Linked DNA regions of Daphnia pulex. The protein of the gene in region 1 binds, or shares a complex with, the protein of each later gene. Links are inferred from orthologs where the notes say so. Each region holds a gene or a part of one and is shown in the gene's direction. Other genes may lie near its edges.

Region 1 (4,064 bases):
GTCAATGCAAAGTTTTAATTAGATTTAAATTTTTAAAAGATAGAAGATTAGAAATGACCTGTTTAGCTGTTATTCGTGATTGGGGGCAATAGCGAAGAAATTGTTCCAGCATCGTTCGTGATGATTCGTCTACATCAATCAGGATTTTCTTAAAGGAGATTTGTTTCCGAGTTTTGGTAAATGAAATTTTGTGGAAATCTGGCAATGCTGATACACCTGGCCAATTTTCTTCGTCTGGAGTGCCTAGTACTATGTAATTACCCACAAAAGAGTTAATGCCATTCACCTTGATTATGATTACCGTATTGTTAATGACCTTGAATGACTGTGCACAGTTGGCCAATGTCATTTTCTCCCTAGGGTTTGATGGAAATCCGGATACTGTTACAACATATTATATTGACAACATTGGCCATTATTTACCGGAAAAAGGGGAGAATTCTTCAACATTTCACCAAAGATACAGCCCATAGCCCATAGGTCGACTTCCGGTCCTGTTGTGAAAAAGGTGTTAGAATTAACATGGCATTTTTAAATTAAAATGAAACTTGCCATAGTTGCGAGAACCATAGAGCAGTTCCGGTGCTCTGTACCACCGCGAAGCCACCTGATGTGTGAATAATCTTTGAGCCTTTTCGGAATGATTGAACGTACGACACAATCCGAAATCGGTCACTTTCAGTTCGCCTCGGGAACCAATCAGCAAATTGGCCGGCTTCAAATCCCGATGCATAATACCCAAACTATGAATATATTCCACAGCGCTGGCTAGCATCCACATGTCTAAATGGAAAGGATTGCATATTGGTTATTTGAATGCCTAAAATCTGATTGTAGAGATGTAAATATGGTACAGCTTTTCACGTGACTCGTCGGCAAAGGTTTGGAGTTGGAGCGCAAAAATTCGTAGAGATCTATTGGTAAATATTCAAAGACCAACACAAGCGAATATCCTTGTGGGAAATAGTCCACTAGGTTCACTACATATTCATGGCGGATCAGGCGAAGAGCCAGCAATTCACGAACAGCCGAGTTCGGCAATCCCTGCTCGTTAATGTTCTTCAACGCTATCCGTTTCATGGCGACCAGTTTCATTGTGGACTTGTCAATACCTTTAAGAACGATCCCGTGTGCCCCTTCCCCAATCCTGCCGTTCACAATATATCTTTCCATGAGATCGTTTAAAAAAACTAATCGCAACAAATATTTTTAAACAACAAATTGGTTGCCTTGACTACGCGCCATCTATTGGTAACCATTATCGACACGTGAAAAGGAAAATTAGTCTGCTAGAAATTTGAAGAAGAACAAGTGGCAAGCAACTTTATGTGCATGTTGTTGTAAACTTTCTCGTACAAAAATGAAGTAAATCCCGCACTTTTGTCAATTCAGAGACCACATTTAATTTATTTACATGTTCATAGATTAAATGTTGATGGACTCCTCGTCTACTTCCCTTACGATTACATATACCCGGAGCAGTTTTCATACATGCTCGAACTGAAACATGCTCTCGATGCAAAAGTATGTTGTATCGTCCAATACTAGTATAACTTGAAATTACATAAATATCTGTTGATGTTGGATCAATTCAGGGTCACTGTTTATTGGAAATGCCTTCTGGAACGGGGAAGACAACAACATTGCTATCATTAATTGTGGCCTACATGAAGGCTCACCCCCTTGATTTAACCAAACTAGTCTACTGTTCAAGAACTGTTCCTGAAATTGAAAAGGTTATGGAAGAATTGCGAAAATTAATGAATTACTACGAAAAAGAGATGGGCATGGAACAAAACATTCTTGGCTTGGCACTTAGCTCCAGAAAGAATCTCTGCATTCACCCCTCAGTAATATGAATTAAATAGTAAAAAGATTTAAAAGTATGGTTAATCAACAACACAATTACATAACAGGTCAGTAAGGAGAGAGAAGGAAAAGTAGTCGACGGGCGCTGTTACGGTCTCACGGCATCGTTTGTAAGAGCTCGTCATGCAGGTGATGACGCTGTGCCAGTATGCAACTTTTATGAAGGATTCGATGCTCATGGAAAAGAATTTCCGCTGCCTCCTGGGGTGTACAACCTGGACGATTTAAAGGAATATGGACAGGCCAAAGGATGGTGTCCTTATTTTCTTGCCCGATACACCGTTAGATCATGACATTTATAAAATATTGTACAACCAAATTAATACCAAATTTAAATTATAGATAACTCACGCCAACATTGTGGTGTACAGCTATCATTACTTACTTGATCCCAAGATTGCAGAAGTCGTTTCCAAGGAAATTTCAAAAACTAGCGTCGTTGTCTTTGATGAAGCCCACAATATTGGTAATTTTACTGAAACGTAACCTCTTAAAATTGCCCTACTAATTAAATATTGGTTTTTCTAGATAATGTCTGTATAGATTCGATGAGCGTCAAGATAACGAAACGTCTGCTGGATAAATGCTCCAATAGCATTCAAATTCTGGAAACCACCATTTCAAAGTAATCACAACTGGATGTGCATGATTAATTTCAGAGTTGTTAACTTTTTTAACTCTTTAGCATGAAAGAAAATGACAACAGAAGGTTGGAGAAGGAATACCAAAGGCTAGTTGAAGGATTGCGAGATGCTAACATAGCGAGAGAAACTGACATGGCTTTAGTTAACCCGGTTTTACCTTCTGAAATTTTAGAAGGTCTGTATTTATTCACAAGTATCCGTTCGGGCCATTTTAACATTTCTTTCATTTATAGAGGCCGTCCCTGGAACGATCCGTACTGCTGAGCACTTCGTGGCCTTTTTGAAGCGAGTAGTAGAGTACATCAAAACTCGACTCCGCGTCCAGCACGTCGTTCAAGAGAGTCCCGCCGGTTTCTTGAGAGATATTCACATTAAAGTGTGTATCGATAGGAAACCTCTAAGGTATATAAAAATACAGTTTCACACGCACAAATTATTATTTTACCTATTTTGTTGATAAACTTTCCAGATTCACCGCAGAGCGTTTATCTTCACTCATTCGCACTCTTGAAATATCCGACCTGACGGATTTCTCACCTCTTGTAACCGTTTCTCACTTTGCTACATTGGTCTCGACATATACTAAAGGGTTAATATCTTTATTTACAGTGATAAAATGGTGAAAAAATATCTAAAAGTAATTTACTATTTTAGATTCACCATCATCATTGAACCGTTTGAAGATCGGGCACCTACAGTTTCCAACCCAATTTTATATTTCAGGTATGTGAATATAGAACACGCAAAGACCAACAGTGATTAATGCTAGTACATTTTACAGCTGTTTAGATTCATCTATTGCCATCAAACCAGTTTTCAATCGTTTCCAAACTGTCGTCATCACCTCAGGAACCCTTTCACCGCTTGATATGTATCCGAAAATCCTCGACTTCCATCCAGTCATAATGACCTCATTTACTATGACTTTGGCGAGACCCTGTATTCTGCCAATGGTAGTAGATGCCTCATTTTTCATAAATGTTAACGTAACACTAAAATTCTTATTTTAAGTATAGATCGTATCGAAAGGTAACGACCAGGTCGCCATGTCATCGCGATACGAAACTCGTGAGGACACCGCCGTTATTCGCAACTACGGAAATTTGTTGGTTGAAGTAGCGGCCGCTGTACCCGATGGGATTGTTTGCTTCTTCACCAGCTACCTATACCTGGAAACAATTGTGTCGTCTTGGTACGATCAGGGCATTATCGATCAATTGCAAAGACACAAGCTCCTCTTTATCGAAACCCAAGACGCAGCAGAAACGAGTTTGGCGCTGATTAACTACATCAAAGTACGTTTCGTTTCTAAAAGTAATTAATTCCTCTAGTCTAAAGATTTTCGTTTAATCTGAATCGATCTGTTTAATCGAGTGAAGGCTTGTGATAATGGACGAGGAGCTGTACTACTTTCAGTCGCACGGGGTAAAGTCTCTGAAGGAATTGATTTTGACCACCATCTTGGACGGTATGAAAAATAATAGGAAAACAAAAGATTCTGACTATATTGACCATTTCTTTTACCGATTCATGTAGCGCCGTGTTAATGTT
Region 2 (3,438 bases), on another chromosome or scaffold:
GCGATGGCATACTTGAGATTGTTGGCTGCACAACTTTACTTTCATAAAAGCTCATAAAATGTTTTCTTACTCTTTGATTTTATTATGAAATAAATAACAATGAAAGAATCATAGGTTGAATATGAAATATCTTTTAATAAATCGCAATAACCGAATTAATAGCCTAATATTTAATTCACACATTTTCTTAATCACCTTGAATGTACTAATTGGAATACAAATTGCAGTTTAAAGTGCGATAACCGCAACTTGGGTTATGACTTTTATTCTCTGTTCGTTTGCATTCGACAAGAATATTTAGACTCACTATAGCTTATACTCACCAGTGTAAAATGATCAAATTTAAAATAGCCTATTCGTTCTTTCTTCGGTAGATAATTTCTTTCAATTATCTTGGACTAGTGTATACAACTTTCAAACTAAAATATATGTTTCTATTCTCTCGCACTGTCCATTTCAAAGCGCAATCAAGTATGTTGTATATTCGATCACGGAGTGGAGTGCTGGCCTGGTCGTCAGCTTCTTGATTCCGCCACCAGCGGCCACCATGAGAAAGGGAAACCCGTTTAGAATTTCAAATTGCTGTGCTCTTTTTATTTTTACCGTTTCGCCATCTCTTGTTTAGACAAATCTATGTTATACATGTATAGCAATTCGTACTAGTGATAGAACTCAATTATAGTAAAAGGAGTTAGTGGACGGACATTGTCCCCCCACAAGACATCGCCTTAAGTACCAATCTAGTTGTTATAACTTTCTCGATTTCGTAGAATTGTTTGATTTTGAATCCAGTTACAAGTGGTAATACATATTCCGATCGAATCAGACCAACTAGTACAAAAAGAGGTTTCCCAGTTTCTGCTTTGTTTCAGAGGGCGATTATATACTTGGCCAGGCATTCCGGTGATTTCGTACTTATTAAAATTCCAAACATTCCGAATCACTTCTCACGGGGCGTTATGAAAAATACCACATTATTCCGCGTCTGAAAGTTACACAGATAGACGTCCTGATTTGCAAATTCCTATAAATCTAGAAAGGCAAGAAAATAATAATAATAATAATATTAGGGAATTCATACTGAAACAAATTTGAGATTTGAGCATTGAGATATGCAATCAGGGTTACATTTGAGGAGGAGTAAAAAGCTAAATGAAAAAATGTTGGCCAATCAAACTATTTCCTGTTAAAAGCTTATTAAAGGGATTGTGCAACAACAAATTTGATCAGTTATTTTTTTTAAGGCCATTAAATTTCCATGCCATTTCGATTTTTGGGGGGTTTTATTAAAGAAAAATGCGTTGACGAACTGATGGTTGCGTAAACTTATCTAATAAAACAAAAGAACGCGCTCTGGCGCGATTTATAGCAGACGATAGACTTGAAGACCTTTTCAGTTGTGTGACGTTGTCGATTGAAAGAAGAAACGATTACTTGTTTTATTAAAGCCGGCCAATATTTAGAACTACATTCTCTTGAATAGGTTTTTCTAGTACGTTGAAGCAGAATTTTTAAAACTGAAAACCATGGAGTCAAAGAAAAAGGAGAAAGAAAAAGAGAAAGACAAGGAGAAAGACAAAGATGTCATCGTTTATGAAAGGGAAATGGAAATGTCTTCAGCTAGTCGGGGTGTTTGGTTGGTGAAAGTACCAAAATACATTTCAAGTCGATGGGATAAATGCCCTGGAAATATTACAGCTGGACAACTGAATATTACTAGGTATGCATCAATTGGTTTATGTTAACAAATCGACAAATCCTTTATTAACTCATTACAACTCTTGTTCAGGGTGCAAGGACAAAAGTCTCAAGTCAAACTTATTCTGTCGGAAGCTATTATGTGTCTCCAGGAAAAAGGAGAGGAACCTATTCCTAAAGAGCATGGATTGATTGTTTCACACATTACTTCACAAACATTGGGTGTATTTTCTCAACAAACCAGTACGTACTACTTGACAGTTATGGGGAAGATTTTTATTTTAGGCCTGAGCTTAAAGCATGATATTTAAAGTGGCGTGCTTGCAATTAATCTAATTTAATATTGACATTTTTGTATTGTTTCCCCAGCTCCAGCCACCGCGAACTCACCTATGGAAACTGAGAAGATCATATTTGAAGGCAAAGTTGCCCAGAAGCTTGAATGTAGACCAACAGGTGAGACCAACAAAATAAAGTTCCTAAGCTTGAAGTGAGCATTAATGATTTTTATTTTCATCAGCAAATGCAAGTTACATGAAACTCAAAAGGGATTCTTTGATTAAAGCTGCCCAACCTACAAGAATTGTGAAGCAATTGGATCGAGTGGTTCAAAGTTACAAACCCATCTCTGACCACAAGCATAATGTAAATATAGCAATTCTCGTCTATTTTTGGTACATCATAACCTTTTATTCCTGATTACAGAAAGAATTCGACGAAAAGAAGAAAGCTGAGGGTAAGAAAGCCAGAGATGATAAGGGCAAAGTTATGGACATGCTGTTTGCAGCTTTTGAAAAGCATCAGTACTACAACATCAAGGACTTGGTAAAACTCACCAACCAACCTGTGGTAAGAAAAAGTTGTTTTCATACAAGCATTTGCACTTTTAAAACCCTCTGCTTTTATAGACCTACCTCAAGGAAATTTTGAAGGATGTTTGTGTATACAATTTGAAGAATCCTCACAAAAACATGTGGGAACTGAAACCGGAATACCGCCACTACAAAGATGAAGACAAGGACTAATAAGTAAACAGTCCATTAACTTTCTAATAAAGCTGTGATTTTCAGAAAACTACTAAACAGCTCTTGGATGCACATAACTTCAGATAACTCAAATGGGTTTCAACTGCCCTTGAAATTGTTCGATAAAATGTTCTCTTAGGCTACAATTTTCCCTTCGTCTAAAAATTCCCGTGCTAACAAGTGTGTGGTCCAATACATCGATGCGAACTTGAAAATTTTACCAATATAATTTATCCCAACCATATCAGGAAGAAATGATTTCATGAGCGAGTTCAGTGCGAAAAGTAGGCTTATGTGCTAACGAGGAACCCCTTTTAAACAGAATCGTAAGATTGTAAAAACAAGAATCAAGTAAAAGGTTACATGTTAATATTTACAGCTTTTCATGGTACCCTACTTACAGTTAACATTATATTATCTCAGTCAAAAGCCATAATCTATTAGAATAGCAACAGCCTGTCTCTTGATGAGATTCATCATCCAACCATGATTCAACCAACAATTTAACGCTGAATATAGTTATCTACAAATTAATTTGTTTTAATTTTCACTAGTTACAATTTGCCAGAATGTAATTTTAAAAATTGTTTATTTGTCAATATAGATACTATAAAATACACCAAACAGAATTATTTCACCAGGAAATCTGCAACTTCAGGTAGCGATGTGAGGGTTCCTGTACAACAACAGAATAAGAATTAGCATTTCAACATCA
Region 3 (3,801 bases), on another chromosome or scaffold:
GACAAAGCATGCCGTTTCTGTTGGTATCTAAATTTAAGTATTGACCGTAGACTCTCAGAGCGGAGGGCGCAGAAAACCAGTTTGAATCCTGTGCATCTTTGGGCAGCTCTTCATCCCGTAGCTGATGAATTATAATATTTTTAGCGAGAAGAATGACAAAAGAATCAGGAATATACTAAATACCTCTAAAAGTTCGTCCAGAAAACCAGAAGCGAGAATATCCTGTATCCTGACTTTGCCTAGCTTTAATGGATCTAGGAAAAAGAGGAACTTGCGTACGGCGGTACAGACGTAAAACGAATGGAATGACTTTTCAAGCCCTTCTAACTGTGGCAATGTTGGGATAAGTTCAGTTATGTAGTTCTCTAAATCCTGGGAAAAACAAAAATAGATAAGTAAATTACATATTGCAAAAACAAAAAACATATTGCTGATGTTCACCATTTCAGTAAGCAGACCTTGTCCTGTGGCATCATATAATGAAAGACCAATTCTAGTTTGCTGTAACCAAACTTTCCTCATGATGTAATTGAACACTGCCATGGTTGATATTCTGCCATGAATATCATTCTGCAATAGCCTTGCAAATACATCTGGTGTAAAGAATGCTCTGTATAGGGGAATTCAAAAAATAACTTGGTGTTCCCAATCAAATATTTACATGTCTTACTTATATTTTGGACCAGCTATGTTGCCTACTTTGAGAAAATCAATATAATTGATCATCTGCTCAGAACCAGCAGGAGGGCTGTGATTTTTGTCAAGTAAAGTCCAGAGATTCTAAAGACAGGATGAAAATCTTATTTACCAGTAGCACAAACACTGGCAATGACATTAACAAACCTGCAGTTCATTGTTATCGAGGAGTTCTTTGCTCTTCTTCTGAAGGAATGCTGTTCTAGCTTCTTCTCTCAGTTTAAGGCTAATCATGTTTTCATGATTAGGAAGCTGTGTAACAAAAACATAAGAAATTTATAGGGAATCAATTGGAAGTTATGCTTACTTTGGTATAGAACTTTGGAACTGGCATGCTTTCTTCCGAGCATTGCTTGCTATATTTGAGACCTTCGGAATACAACTTTTGGAAGGTATCTTCATCTTCGGCGTTTAAAACCAAAATCTCGGATTTTTCATCCATCTCGTTGATGAAAATCAACGAATACTGAGACTTAGGCCGCTAATAAAAACGTTTCTTGTTCATTCGATTCAAACGTGTCGAAACGATAACAAACGGCTTTACTTTTAGCAGAAAGAATGTTTTTTTCGACCGCTAGATGCTATGCTTAGCCAAAATCACGCTTCGTGGCGCTGCCATCGGGGGCATTTCGATATATATTGCCGCGTCAGTCTTAGTTTTCATGTCGGCTTCCTGTTGAACGAAGCCCTCCCGGAATTGAAATCAAATAAAATTCAATTTCGTTAAAGAATGGCCGCCAATCAGGCACTCGTGGTATTTATTTACCTTTTACTTTATGATAATATTTCATGGGGAATAGTACCTGGAAACTGTTGTTGCATTGACGATTCCACTCCACGAGCTCGATCTCACTCCTCGTTGGTCTAATTAAGGACTTTTATATTTCTTTTTTTGTAGTCGAAACTGTATCGTGGCGTTATTGAAGATGTTATCAACGGGGTTCGAGAGGCGTTTCTTGACGAAGGAATCGATGAGGCTGTACTTCTCGAATTGAAGCAGAATTGGGAAAACAAATTGCAGTCCAGCAAAGCAATCGACCCTGTGACCGATCCTGCTGAAACTTCTCTCCAAAGCAAACTGCAACAAAGTATCCAATATCGATTATGAGACTTTATCATGTATGAAAAAAGGGTCTTCTTTGCCGTCAAAAGCAGGTCAGCAGGCTAGCTCTACAGCTCCTGCGAACAATTCTACACCTCAACAGGCAGCCACTACGGCAAAGCAACCAGGTAGTTGGGTATACTGTTACATTGAGTGCATTATTATTAATTGTTTTGTTTGTTTGTTTTTATTTTCTCTAAAGCAGCAGCAGCAGCCCAAACCCCAGTGACTACCCCTAATGCAGCTACAGGTGCAGCAACAACAGCAGCAGCTGCAGCCCCTGCTACGACAACAGTAAGGACGGTGCCAGTCCAAATCACTGTTCCTCCTCAGGCTGGAGTAGCAGGTCATACAGCAGCCAAGAGCATCACTGTTCACGTTCCAGCTCATGCTCTTCAAGGTTATTTCCCAATTGAATCTCGTTCGTACTAGCTCCAATCTAATTTCTTTACTATTTGTAATAATGTCACAGGTGGCGCAGCGGGAGCGCAGCTGCAAACGATCCTGAGTTCACCGGCTGTGACGGCGGCTCTCTCTCTTCCAGTTGAAATGGCCACGACTGTCTTGCAGCAGCACATTAATAACGCGTTGCAGGTACCATTGGTTGAAATTGAATCCACTCGAAAGTGTATATAATAATGTGTGTACAATGCATTATTACTTTTCTTTGTAGTCGACAGCTGCACGGAGCCAATCGCGAACTGACAATGGAGGAGTCACACAGTTGGATGGACCCGGAGACTCTTCGGACGACGACGACGATGTTGAAGATGATGACGATGACGACGTGGAAGAAGAGGACGATCATGACGACGAGGAGATTGACGCAGACAACGAAGAGAACGCAGACGAGGAGCCACTCAACTCTGAAGACGATGTGACTGATGATGATCCCTCAGTGTTATTTGAAACTGATAACGTCGTCGTGTGCCAGTACGACAAGGCAAGGATTTGAATTTTAGCATTCGAATTGGAATTGAAATGTTTTAAATGACTTTTTTTTCTATTTGTAGATTACGAGAAGTCGAAACAGGTGGAAGTTTCATCTCAAGGACGGCATCATGAACATTAACGGTCGCGATTACGTCTTTCAAAAGGCCAACGGTGATGCAGAGTGGTGAAAATATTCAAGGTTGAAATTGCGCTACTAGGGGAAAATCAAGATAATGTTTCATTTAATACAATCCGGAGGAATTTCGCTTTCAATTTAAGGATTTTTCGTGTGCCTGTGCGTGTGCATGTGCGGAATTTCTTTTTTCATGTCGGGTGTTGGATGAGCGGTGGAGAGGAAAAAATACCTGGGGACAAAGAAACAAAAGCCATTCGTGTTTGTCCTCCCTCGCTTCTTTTGTTTCGTTTCTCTTTTTTTGTTAACACACAAAACTTTCCGAATTCTTTTTTTGTCTCATCTTTTCCCTGTTCGCTGCAGAAGCTGTTGTCGCCCCCTTTTGATTCAGGAATATTTAGAAGAAGAAGAAAAATATATGTTCAAATTACCAAGAATTGCAATTAGTTTTCGAGAAGATTCTAATAACGTGACCCAAAACTAGTCCAAGACCCAGGGGACAATGTTACTAATTACGGTACCGAAAAATTCTTGTAATCGTATACAGTTGGTGGTGGACATTTTCAATGTTAGTCGGAAGAAATCTAGATTAGGTTGTATACATGGGAAGTCATTCAGGCGAGCGTACGGGGACTTGAAAGCAAATAACCAAGTGGTCAAAAGCTTACATCCGTTTGCAGTCATCACCGGGGAATTGCTCATCCAACTATTGGATTCGGTACACGTTAATGGAGTTTCTACACGATAGCAGCGCGGTAGGAGTTGTTGGCGTCCGCCAAAAAGTTTCCTAGAGCCGTTAAAAGGCAACCAGCACAAAACTAAACGAACTTTGCTGTTGCCAGGACCTTAGGATTCGACCTGCTGGACTCATTATCAAAACTAAAAAAAAAACGAGGGGAAAAGTTTCAACAAGGACGGACTGGGGCGTTCTTCCATC
Region 4 (4,124 bases), on another chromosome or scaffold:
AGTAATAGTAAGGCGAACACTGATGAACTCATAGTGGCGGTTTGTGCGAGTAAGAAGATTCCAAGACTGGGAAGTACAAATTTAATGTTAGATACTGTGAACCAAATTGGTAGGTGAGATTTGAGTACCTTTAGTTCTTCAGCTACAAATCTTCCTGTAACTTCGTCCTCAATGATTGCTTCCACCCCCGCATGAACAAAGTCAAGGCAGTCAGATAGAATAAAATCATTATTCAAACTGTTAAATGATCTGTTTTTGGGGATGGAGGGTGTCTTTGGAGATGAGTTTCCATTAGGTAAAAGTACTAGATCTTCCTTGGACATTGCTGAAGATTTTATAATGGCATGTCCAGTTGATAATTTGTCCTCAGCTTGTTCCACTGCTTCCACAACATTTCCATTTGCATAGCCATTCTTTCCTTTATTGGTCTCTAGTTTCTTTTGCTGCTCAGCAATTTCTATCCTACCAGTTCCATACTAGTATAAAAAAGATTATGAGCATTACGAAAACTCAAATACTAAGAATAAGACATATTACCTGAAAGACCTTCAATAGTAGTTTAACATATCCTGATCGGAAATTCCTTGACCAGTTGCATGTCATCACTAGCACCAAGCAACCAATTACCAGGATAACAGGCATAAAAATTATACTAAGTACTAGCAAAAGAATTAAATTTTCGAGCCCCATTGTAATATTGTTGGTGGGAGCTCCAGTTCAAGAAGTTGCTGTCGTTGTCGAACACCAAGGCAACAGATGTCGGGACCACGTTAAAGGAAGTGGTGGAAGAGAGAGATTTCAAGGTTGACAAGAGAAATGCCGATTTGAGTTGTTGTGCGTGAGTGGAATTCGCGTAACGTAGTCTACTAAAAGACTGCTACGACAGACGTTTTGGGACTCTCGTTTATAATGGGACGTTCAGGCTACAACTGACTTCAAAAATACGTCTGTCTATTGGTTCTATGCGTTGCGCGTGCGACCTTGACGCGATTAATTATCTTTTTCTAGTCCTCCCATGCTTACCAGCACGATTTATCGGAATCACATAAAAGTTTACTTTGGAAGTCTCCACCCATCTGTTTTTTTTCCAATGCGTAATGAAAAATCTAGAAAATACAAAACCTGGGTGATATTTTCCTCCGTTCACGGAAGCTATTTCAAAACATGTTGGAATGCGGTTATTCAATATTTAATTACGAAATTTGTTACAAAAGTCTGTTGCTTGTTTACAATTACATAATCTGTGACAAAATTATATATTCGATGAATAATCAGTTCATGAAAAGAAGAATGTGAGAGGTAGGCAACCATGTGTCATTTAAAAGCAGATGACGTTTACATAATCAGGGCAGAGGTAAACAGTAAACATGGCGATCTCGACTGCGATTCACAAACTCAGAGATTCGTTTAATTCAGAAGAATCCGCGAATGAATCTATTCGCTGTATTAGTCAATGTAAGTTTTTATAATTATAACTGAAAGAAACATTTTTTCGTACTCCGCTCAAGTGTTCGAAATTAGAAAAAAAGAAGGAAAAACACGTGTCCATCATGAGCGCGCCAGATTTAAAACATATGTGTAGAAAATGTTTAATAATTTTAACAAGTTAACATCAATGACTTTGTTTAATTTTTCAGCAATTGCATCAAAAGAATTAACAATTCTCAAGCTAGTTGAAGATTTGCAACCAGATTTACTGAATCAACAAAATACTCACCGATGCAAAGCAGTGTCAACTATTGGCACAATCTTGGAACAGTTGGGGCCTGAATTGAAGGGACTAAATGAAAAGGAAGTAGAACTTGTAACAGAGTTCTTCTGTAGCAAGCTAAAAGATCATCATTCAATACTACCTGCCGCACTGCAAGGCCTCCATGCTTTGGTATGAAAAAAAATACTATTCAATACAAAAGTGTTAAATTTAATACCTTGTCATAGAGCACAGCACCTAAGCTTTCCCCTGGATTGGCCAGATTGATATCCCAGAGCATTTTTCAAGATGTTCATTGTCAATCACAATTGCAGCATGACAGAAGAGCAATTTACAAAACAGTGAAAAACCTCTTGGCTTTTCATCTAAAAGGTCTAAATTATAAATTTCTAAATATATATGCTGTGTTAGTATTTTCTAAATTTTATTTTTAAACTTACAGAATTACAAGACCTAGGCCAAGATTTTGTTTTTGGTCTCATCCAGTTAGCTGATCAAGAAAGAGACCCACGTAACTTGTTGATTCTCTTCAGTGTTTTCCCTGTAGTTGCTCGTTACTTCAGATTCGAGCCGTTTACAGAAGAGTTTTTCGAAGTTTTTAGTTGCTACTTCCCTATCGATTTCACCCCTGTAAGTCTCTTGAAATTTTCAGTTTATTGCTACATGTCAGTAAATCCTAATACTCTTATTTTGAATAGCCAGCTAATGATCCTTATGCAGTAACTAAAGAACAGCTCTGTGATGGATTACGACAGTGCCTTGCCGGTAGCCCTCATTTCGCAGAGTATTGTTTGCCGTTACTGCAAGAGAAATTGGAATCTGACTTGGTTTCAGCTAAAGTAGAAGCCTTAAAAACCTTGGTAATTTTCCCCTTCTATATTTAGTCTTTATGCTTCAATTCTATTGTAATTTTCGACTGTTTGCAGGAACTCTGCTGTCAGACGTATCAACCAGGCCAACTTGAAAAATGGGTGGACTCTTTCTGGACGAGTATACGTAGAGAAGTCTTGATCAATGTCAATACCGACGATCTTGAACATGCCTCACTTGATGCTCTTGCCGCTTTATCCCGAGCTTTTACAACAGACGGAGAATTTAACAGTCCAGCTTTTACCAAATTACTAAAAAATGTGCTGACCGGTAAATGTGTAGCAAATATTCGTTTAAGAGTATATTTAACTGTAGATTGTATATTAATAGAATGTCAGGGGCACTTGTGTGAACCGGAACGGCGATTAATGACTCCGAGCAGCTACATTTTGCTAGCGATATGCTCGGGAAGTGCGCCCGCGTGTGCATTAATTGTTAGCCAGGTATTATTCTTATTCTCTTATAGAACTACAAACATTTTTTTTAAAATCTACTTAACAGAAACCCATTTCTCTAAATAGGTCATTCCCCTTTTGATGGACCAGTACAGGATCAGGCCACAGTCAAATCCACGTCAGTTCATCCTTAATAGTTTGAACAAAATGGTACATGCTGGTCTCTATGGTTTCACTGAAGCAAACGGTACCACATTTTAAAAATTATTAAAATTAGAAACATTTTCATATCTTTGGTTATATTTTACAGTTGCTCAAAGTGGTGTAGCTTCTCTGATACCAAAATTGTTAGAGCTGTACCTTGAGGTCTTACAAGAGGATGACGCAGTTCTTCGCAATCTAAGTCTGCAAGGATTGAGCCATTTAATTGGCACCTGTTTGAACCACCAAGACTTGGAAAAGGTCAATGGAACACTTTTAGATTTACTCCAGAAATCAACAGCCACCGATAGCGTTATTGCAGAGATTGGTCATTTCTTTTGCAAAAGCGCAGAGAAGAATGAAAACTTGTTCCTTGAGCAAGTCTTGGTTAAGCTGTTAGATATAGCCGTCTCAGGTAATTTGAATTTTACCAATTAAAATACGGAAAGAGGTTATCTGTTGGTTGTTTAGGCAAAGCCAATGCGGTTTTTCTTGTGTTATCAACTCTACCGACGTTGTCCCAGATTCGTGCGCAGGTGGTATCCCGACTAATGACCGTGCTCGAACAACCCGAACTGGAATTACGACTTGAAGTACTCAAAGTTTTGACTCATTTCGCACAAAGGGACGAACTAGAAATATTCCAGCAATTGCACCGCTGGGGATTGAAAACATTGGAAGATGGAGATCCTCCGGCGTCACTCCAAGCCACTTGTGTTTTATTGAGAAATCTGGCTTCCAGTTTATCTTCCGCGTAATTCTATTAGATCAAAATGTTGGAAGAAATGTTTTTGTAATCTTCTCGGCATTGTACAGGAAAGCCACGGAATTCATCAACGAACAAACCGAACAATACGTAGGTCAACATCTTGCTCGTTCTCCGTGGACGTTGTCCATAATGGAAGCGACATTGGGATCATTGGATGCCACACCTAGCGGACACAGTC
Region 5 (2,790 bases), on another chromosome or scaffold:
GGAAATTGTATTCCAATAGCGAAACCTTCATCCATCGTGCCTGGAATCCTGCCACCGATGCAGGAGACATTGCTCTCATCAAACTCAAAAGCGCCGTCAAATATTCACGTATCATTAATTCGTGTTCTTTAATTTAAAATTATAATTAAATTTAAGATTTTGTACAGAGTACATCCGCCCAGTGTGTCTGTCAATTTCCGGTATCGACGAACCTGATTACGTCAACGAAATGGTTACCGTCACGAGATGGGGTACAACTTACGACGGTATTCCGTTCAACATACGACGACGAGAGAATCCAAAATAAAAGTTAAATGTTTCAAAAATTCAGGTAGTCCACGTATAAGCCCAGTGTTACATAAGATGACGGTCCGGCTCATCTCCAATAACGACTGCAGGACAACTTATGGCGACAACATCCAAGGAGGACATTATGTGCACCAGTGATGGCGCCAACAACATGGGAACTTGCATAGTAAGTGAACGCATAATCATCCTAGTGAATTTACTTTTAAAATGTATGCAAATATGGCAGGGCGATAGTGGCGGATCGATGAATTACAAACAGATGGACGGCAGGTGGAAACAGATCGGGATCATATCGTTCGGTTCGACTGAGGGATGCCAAAAGAAAAGGGTCATCCAAACGGTTACAACAGACTGAGCTCTTATTCTTCATTTCAACGTAGATCCGGGATATTATTGAATCAACTTCCGGCACTCATTGAACATCCGCCTTTTTATCGACACCCCTTATGCTCGTTTCAATCGTATTCGTGATTAGCCTTTCGACGGCGTGGTTCTAACGACTCATTTGAATGCCCTCCCAGGGCTCCCACCTACTAATGTACATTACTATATCGTTTATTCATTTAGTTTGTAATAACAAGTCTCAAAACAAGGTGAATCATTAAACGCAACATTTTCTAATCGAATCCAGAATTTGAAAATCTCAGTCATTTTAACAGTCCGGCAGTTGTAATAATTAGATACCAGCGTAAGCATTTACGTGCGAGCATGTACGACGGCGACATAATCAGCACGCAAATTGCTGTAAAACATTACATCTTTTACAAGTTGGAAAAAAACATTTAACTTCACCGGAAATCCCAAGTAGGATCTCTTGCCCTCGTCCTCCTAACGGCCACCGGTTTACTTTCGCCTCTGATGAGATCGACCCTCTGCAACCGTTCGACAACTTAATATCCCAGCTATTTAATACACATTTGGACTGTCCTACACTGTCGACGAAGCAACGATGTGCTGACATTTTCCATTTTAAATTACTGTTTTCTTATACCCTGTTACAAATGGATGCATTTTAGTATTTTACCATGAATCGTCCATTCGAGATCCAACCATAAAGTATCCACAGTCCACACGTATAGTCGTATACTTTATGAATCGACATTTGAATCAAGAAAGGGACGCAAGGCCACCTGGTGAACGAACGCCGAAGTTGACTCGGCCGACAACTCGACAAAGCGGTGGCGGTTGACTAGGGCACCATCGTCTGCACGCTGTAGCAAATGCAAATCTCTTAAATTTGACTGGAAATCTCGTGGTCTTGTTAACTTACTCAGTTTTCACTTTTCACTGTGATTATCTTACCCTTTAAACAATAATGGCAGACGATGACTTTGAGAACGACGAGTAAGTTAATAGTTAGTTGGAGTTTTTCTTCTTTTCTTAATCACATGTACAACATGTTGAATTTCTGTTATTTAGTGGCGACGATTTTGAAGATGCTGAAGACGATGATAACATGGATGAAATGGAACAGCCAGACGATGATGCACAAATTGATCTACTTCAGCAAGGTGAAGGTGGAGCTGGCCAACTGCAAACCAAGCGCATTACAACACCTTACATGACAAAGTATGTAACACTTGAAAGATGCATAGCTCATGAAAGACTATAAACAAGTCTTACATTTTTAGGTATGAAAGGGCACGGGTGTTAGGGACCAGAGCATTACAAATAGCAATGTGTGCACCAGTCATGGTTGAATTGGAAGGCGAAACAGATCCCCTGCAAATTGCAATGAAAGAATTGAAGCAGAAGAAAATTCCTATAATCATTCGCCGCTATCTTCCTGATGGAAGTTATGAAGATTGGGGAATAGACGAACTTGTAATCAATGACTGAGTCCAACATACAATAATACACTAAGATGTCTTTTTAATTGTACTTTGTAATTCTTTCACCATTTGTCTCCCATTGATGAGAAGTCCCTTGATTGTTTCCTTCAAAATAAAATTCTGTGAAATAAATTCCAAATGAAAACAAACTAATTAATACTTCATTAGTGTGAGATCGGTGTGTTTCAAAGTCACTCCTAGCCCACTTGATGATTTCGTCTTTTTGATGCCTATCTACTTTTCTAGCTGTGCGTAGAACTTGATGAACAAAACACTTGTTTAATAGTTATCAGAACTATGTACCCTAATATTAAGTAATCAATTACCTTCTCTGTATAAATTCAAAACCTCTTGCCTAAGCATGAACTGAGAGAGAATAATTTTTTATCAGAAGCTCTGCAATGTGATATGTTAATGCTATAAATATGGAATTACCTGCTTAAGAGTGAGCACTTTTTTAGGAATTCTTGAAATGGTAGACATAGTTATTTGTGGGTAAATTCAGATTACTAAAACCAGTTGAAAGTGTTTTGATTACTGAAGTGATTTATTCTAGGAGTCTATTATCAATATCATCTCACGATCTATTGACAATATTCATTAATGGTTAATTCTACGATACCCTTCAGAAAAATAACTATTTTTATTT

Evidence for each region. Proteins that work in one complex are often made in the same cells at the same time.
Region 2: general transcription and DNA repair factor IIH helicase subunit XPD-like (region 1) and general transcription factor IIF subunit 2-like share a complex: the UniProt entries of both Homo sapiens proteins name them as parts of the TBP-based Pol II pre-initiation complex. The link is inferred for Daphnia pulex from reciprocal best matches to the Homo sapiens genes ERCC2 and GTF2F2.
Region 3: general transcription and DNA repair factor IIH helicase subunit XPD-like (region 1) and transcription initiation factor IIA subunit 1-like share a complex: the UniProt entries of both Homo sapiens proteins name them as parts of the TBP-based Pol II pre-initiation complex. The link is inferred for Daphnia pulex from reciprocal best matches to the Homo sapiens genes ERCC2 and GTF2A1.
Region 4: general transcription and DNA repair factor IIH helicase subunit XPD-like (region 1) and MMS19 nucleotide excision repair protein homolog share a complex: the UniProt entries of both Homo sapiens proteins name them as parts of the MMXD complex. The link is inferred for Daphnia pulex from reciprocal best matches to the Homo sapiens genes ERCC2 and MMS19.
Region 5: general transcription and DNA repair factor IIH helicase subunit XPD-like (region 1) and DNA-directed RNA polymerases I, II, and III subunit RPABC2-like share a complex: the UniProt entries of both Homo sapiens proteins name them as parts of the TBP-based Pol II pre-initiation complex. The link is inferred for Daphnia pulex from reciprocal best matches to the Homo sapiens genes ERCC2 and POLR2F.

The regions. Positions count from the first base shown.
Region 1 is NC_060017.1:8,164,235-8,168,298, forward strand, and holds the start of general transcription and DNA repair factor IIH helicase subunit XPD-like, read left to right. Parts: upstream 1-1,264; 5' UTR 1,265-1,360; coding exon 1,361-1,365; intron 1,366-1,424; coding exon 1,425-1,524; intron 1,525-1,595; coding exon 1,596-1,850; intron 1,851-1,916; coding exon 1,917-2,150; intron 2,151-2,211; coding exon 2,212-2,335; intron 2,336-2,397; coding exon 2,398-2,494; intron 2,495-2,554; coding exon 2,555-2,688; intron 2,689-2,746; coding exon 2,747-2,915; intron 2,916-2,982; coding exon 2,983-3,102; intron 3,103-3,167; coding exon 3,168-3,236; intron 3,237-3,294; coding exon 3,295-3,466; intron 3,467-3,529; coding exon 3,530-3,808; intron 3,809-3,892; coding exon 3,893-3,981; intron 3,982-4,049; coding exon 4,050-4,064. Other genes in the region: cyclin-dependent kinase 20-like, read right to left, coding at 59-249, 317-356, 424-494, 553-783, 855-1,173. UniProt on the Homo sapiens protein: ATP-dependent 5'-3' DNA helicase. Component of the general transcription and DNA repair factor IIH (TFIIH) core complex, not absolutely essential for minimal transcription in vitro.
Region 2 is NC_060025.1:406,047-409,484, forward strand, and holds general transcription factor IIF subunit 2-like, read left to right. Parts: upstream 1-1,372; 5' UTR 1,373-1,526; coding exon 1,527-1,720; intron 1,721-1,789; coding exon 1,790-1,941; intron 1,942-2,067; coding exon 2,068-2,154; intron 2,155-2,218; coding exon 2,219-2,343; intron 2,344-2,403; coding exon 2,404-2,547; intron 2,548-2,606; coding exon 2,607-2,723; 3' UTR 2,724-2,938; downstream 2,939-3,438. UniProt on the Homo sapiens protein: TFIIF is a general transcription initiation factor that binds to RNA polymerase II and helps to recruit it to the initiation complex in collaboration with TFIIB.
Region 3 is NC_060018.1:12,590,387-12,594,187, forward strand, and holds transcription initiation factor IIA subunit 1-like, read left to right. Parts: upstream 1-1,303; 5' UTR 1,304-1,426; coding exon 1,427-1,450; intron 1,451-1,594; coding exon 1,595-1,784; intron 1,785-1,827; coding exon 1,828-1,926; intron 1,927-1,997; coding exon 1,998-2,198; intron 2,199-2,270; coding exon 2,271-2,392; intron 2,393-2,471; coding exon 2,472-2,741; intron 2,742-2,811; coding exon 2,812-2,919; 3' UTR 2,920-3,301; downstream 3,302-3,801. Other genes in the region: serine/threonine-protein phosphatase 2A regulatory subunit B'' subunit gamma-like, read right to left, coding at 1-121, 184-372, 442-610, 671-780, 844-948, 1,004-1,138. UniProt on the Homo sapiens protein: TFIIA is a component of the transcription machinery of RNA polymerase II and plays an important role in transcriptional activation. TFIIA in a complex with TBP mediates transcriptional activity.
Region 4 is NC_060026.1:4,198,383-4,202,506, forward strand, and holds the start of MMS19 nucleotide excision repair protein homolog, read left to right. Parts: upstream 1-1,324; 5' UTR 1,325-1,367; coding exon 1,368-1,455; intron 1,456-1,637; coding exon 1,638-1,882; intron 1,883-1,938; coding exon 1,939-2,083; intron 2,084-2,153; coding exon 2,154-2,341; intron 2,342-2,409; coding exon 2,410-2,571; intron 2,572-2,637; coding exon 2,638-2,851; intron 2,852-2,911; coding exon 2,912-3,024; intron 3,025-3,102; coding exon 3,103-3,223; intron 3,224-3,286; coding exon 3,287-3,592; intron 3,593-3,648; coding exon 3,649-3,931; intron 3,932-3,993; coding exon 3,994-4,124. Other genes in the region: glycerol-3-phosphate acyltransferase 3-like, read right to left, coding at 1-66, 129-476, 538-690. UniProt on the Homo sapiens protein: Key component of the cytosolic iron-sulfur protein assembly (CIA) complex, a multiprotein complex that mediates the incorporation of iron-sulfur cluster into apoproteins specifically involved in DNA metabolism and genomic integrity.
Region 5 is NC_060023.1:6,841,136-6,843,925, forward strand, and holds DNA-directed RNA polymerases I, II, and III subunit RPABC2-like, read left to right. Parts: upstream 1-1,466; 5' UTR 1,467-1,624; coding exon 1,625-1,653; intron 1,654-1,728; coding exon 1,729-1,878; intron 1,879-1,940; coding exon 1,941-2,148; 3' UTR 2,149-2,168; coding exon of another isoform or gene 2,169-2,246; 3' UTR 2,247-2,290; downstream 2,291-2,790. Other genes in the region: chymotrypsin BII-like, read left to right, coding at 1-108, 168-266, 332-447; LYR motif-containing protein 2-like, read right to left, coding at 2,169-2,246, 2,302-2,399, 2,468-2,507, 2,577-2,624. UniProt on the Homo sapiens protein: DNA-dependent RNA polymerase catalyzes the transcription of DNA into RNA using the four ribonucleoside triphosphates as substrates.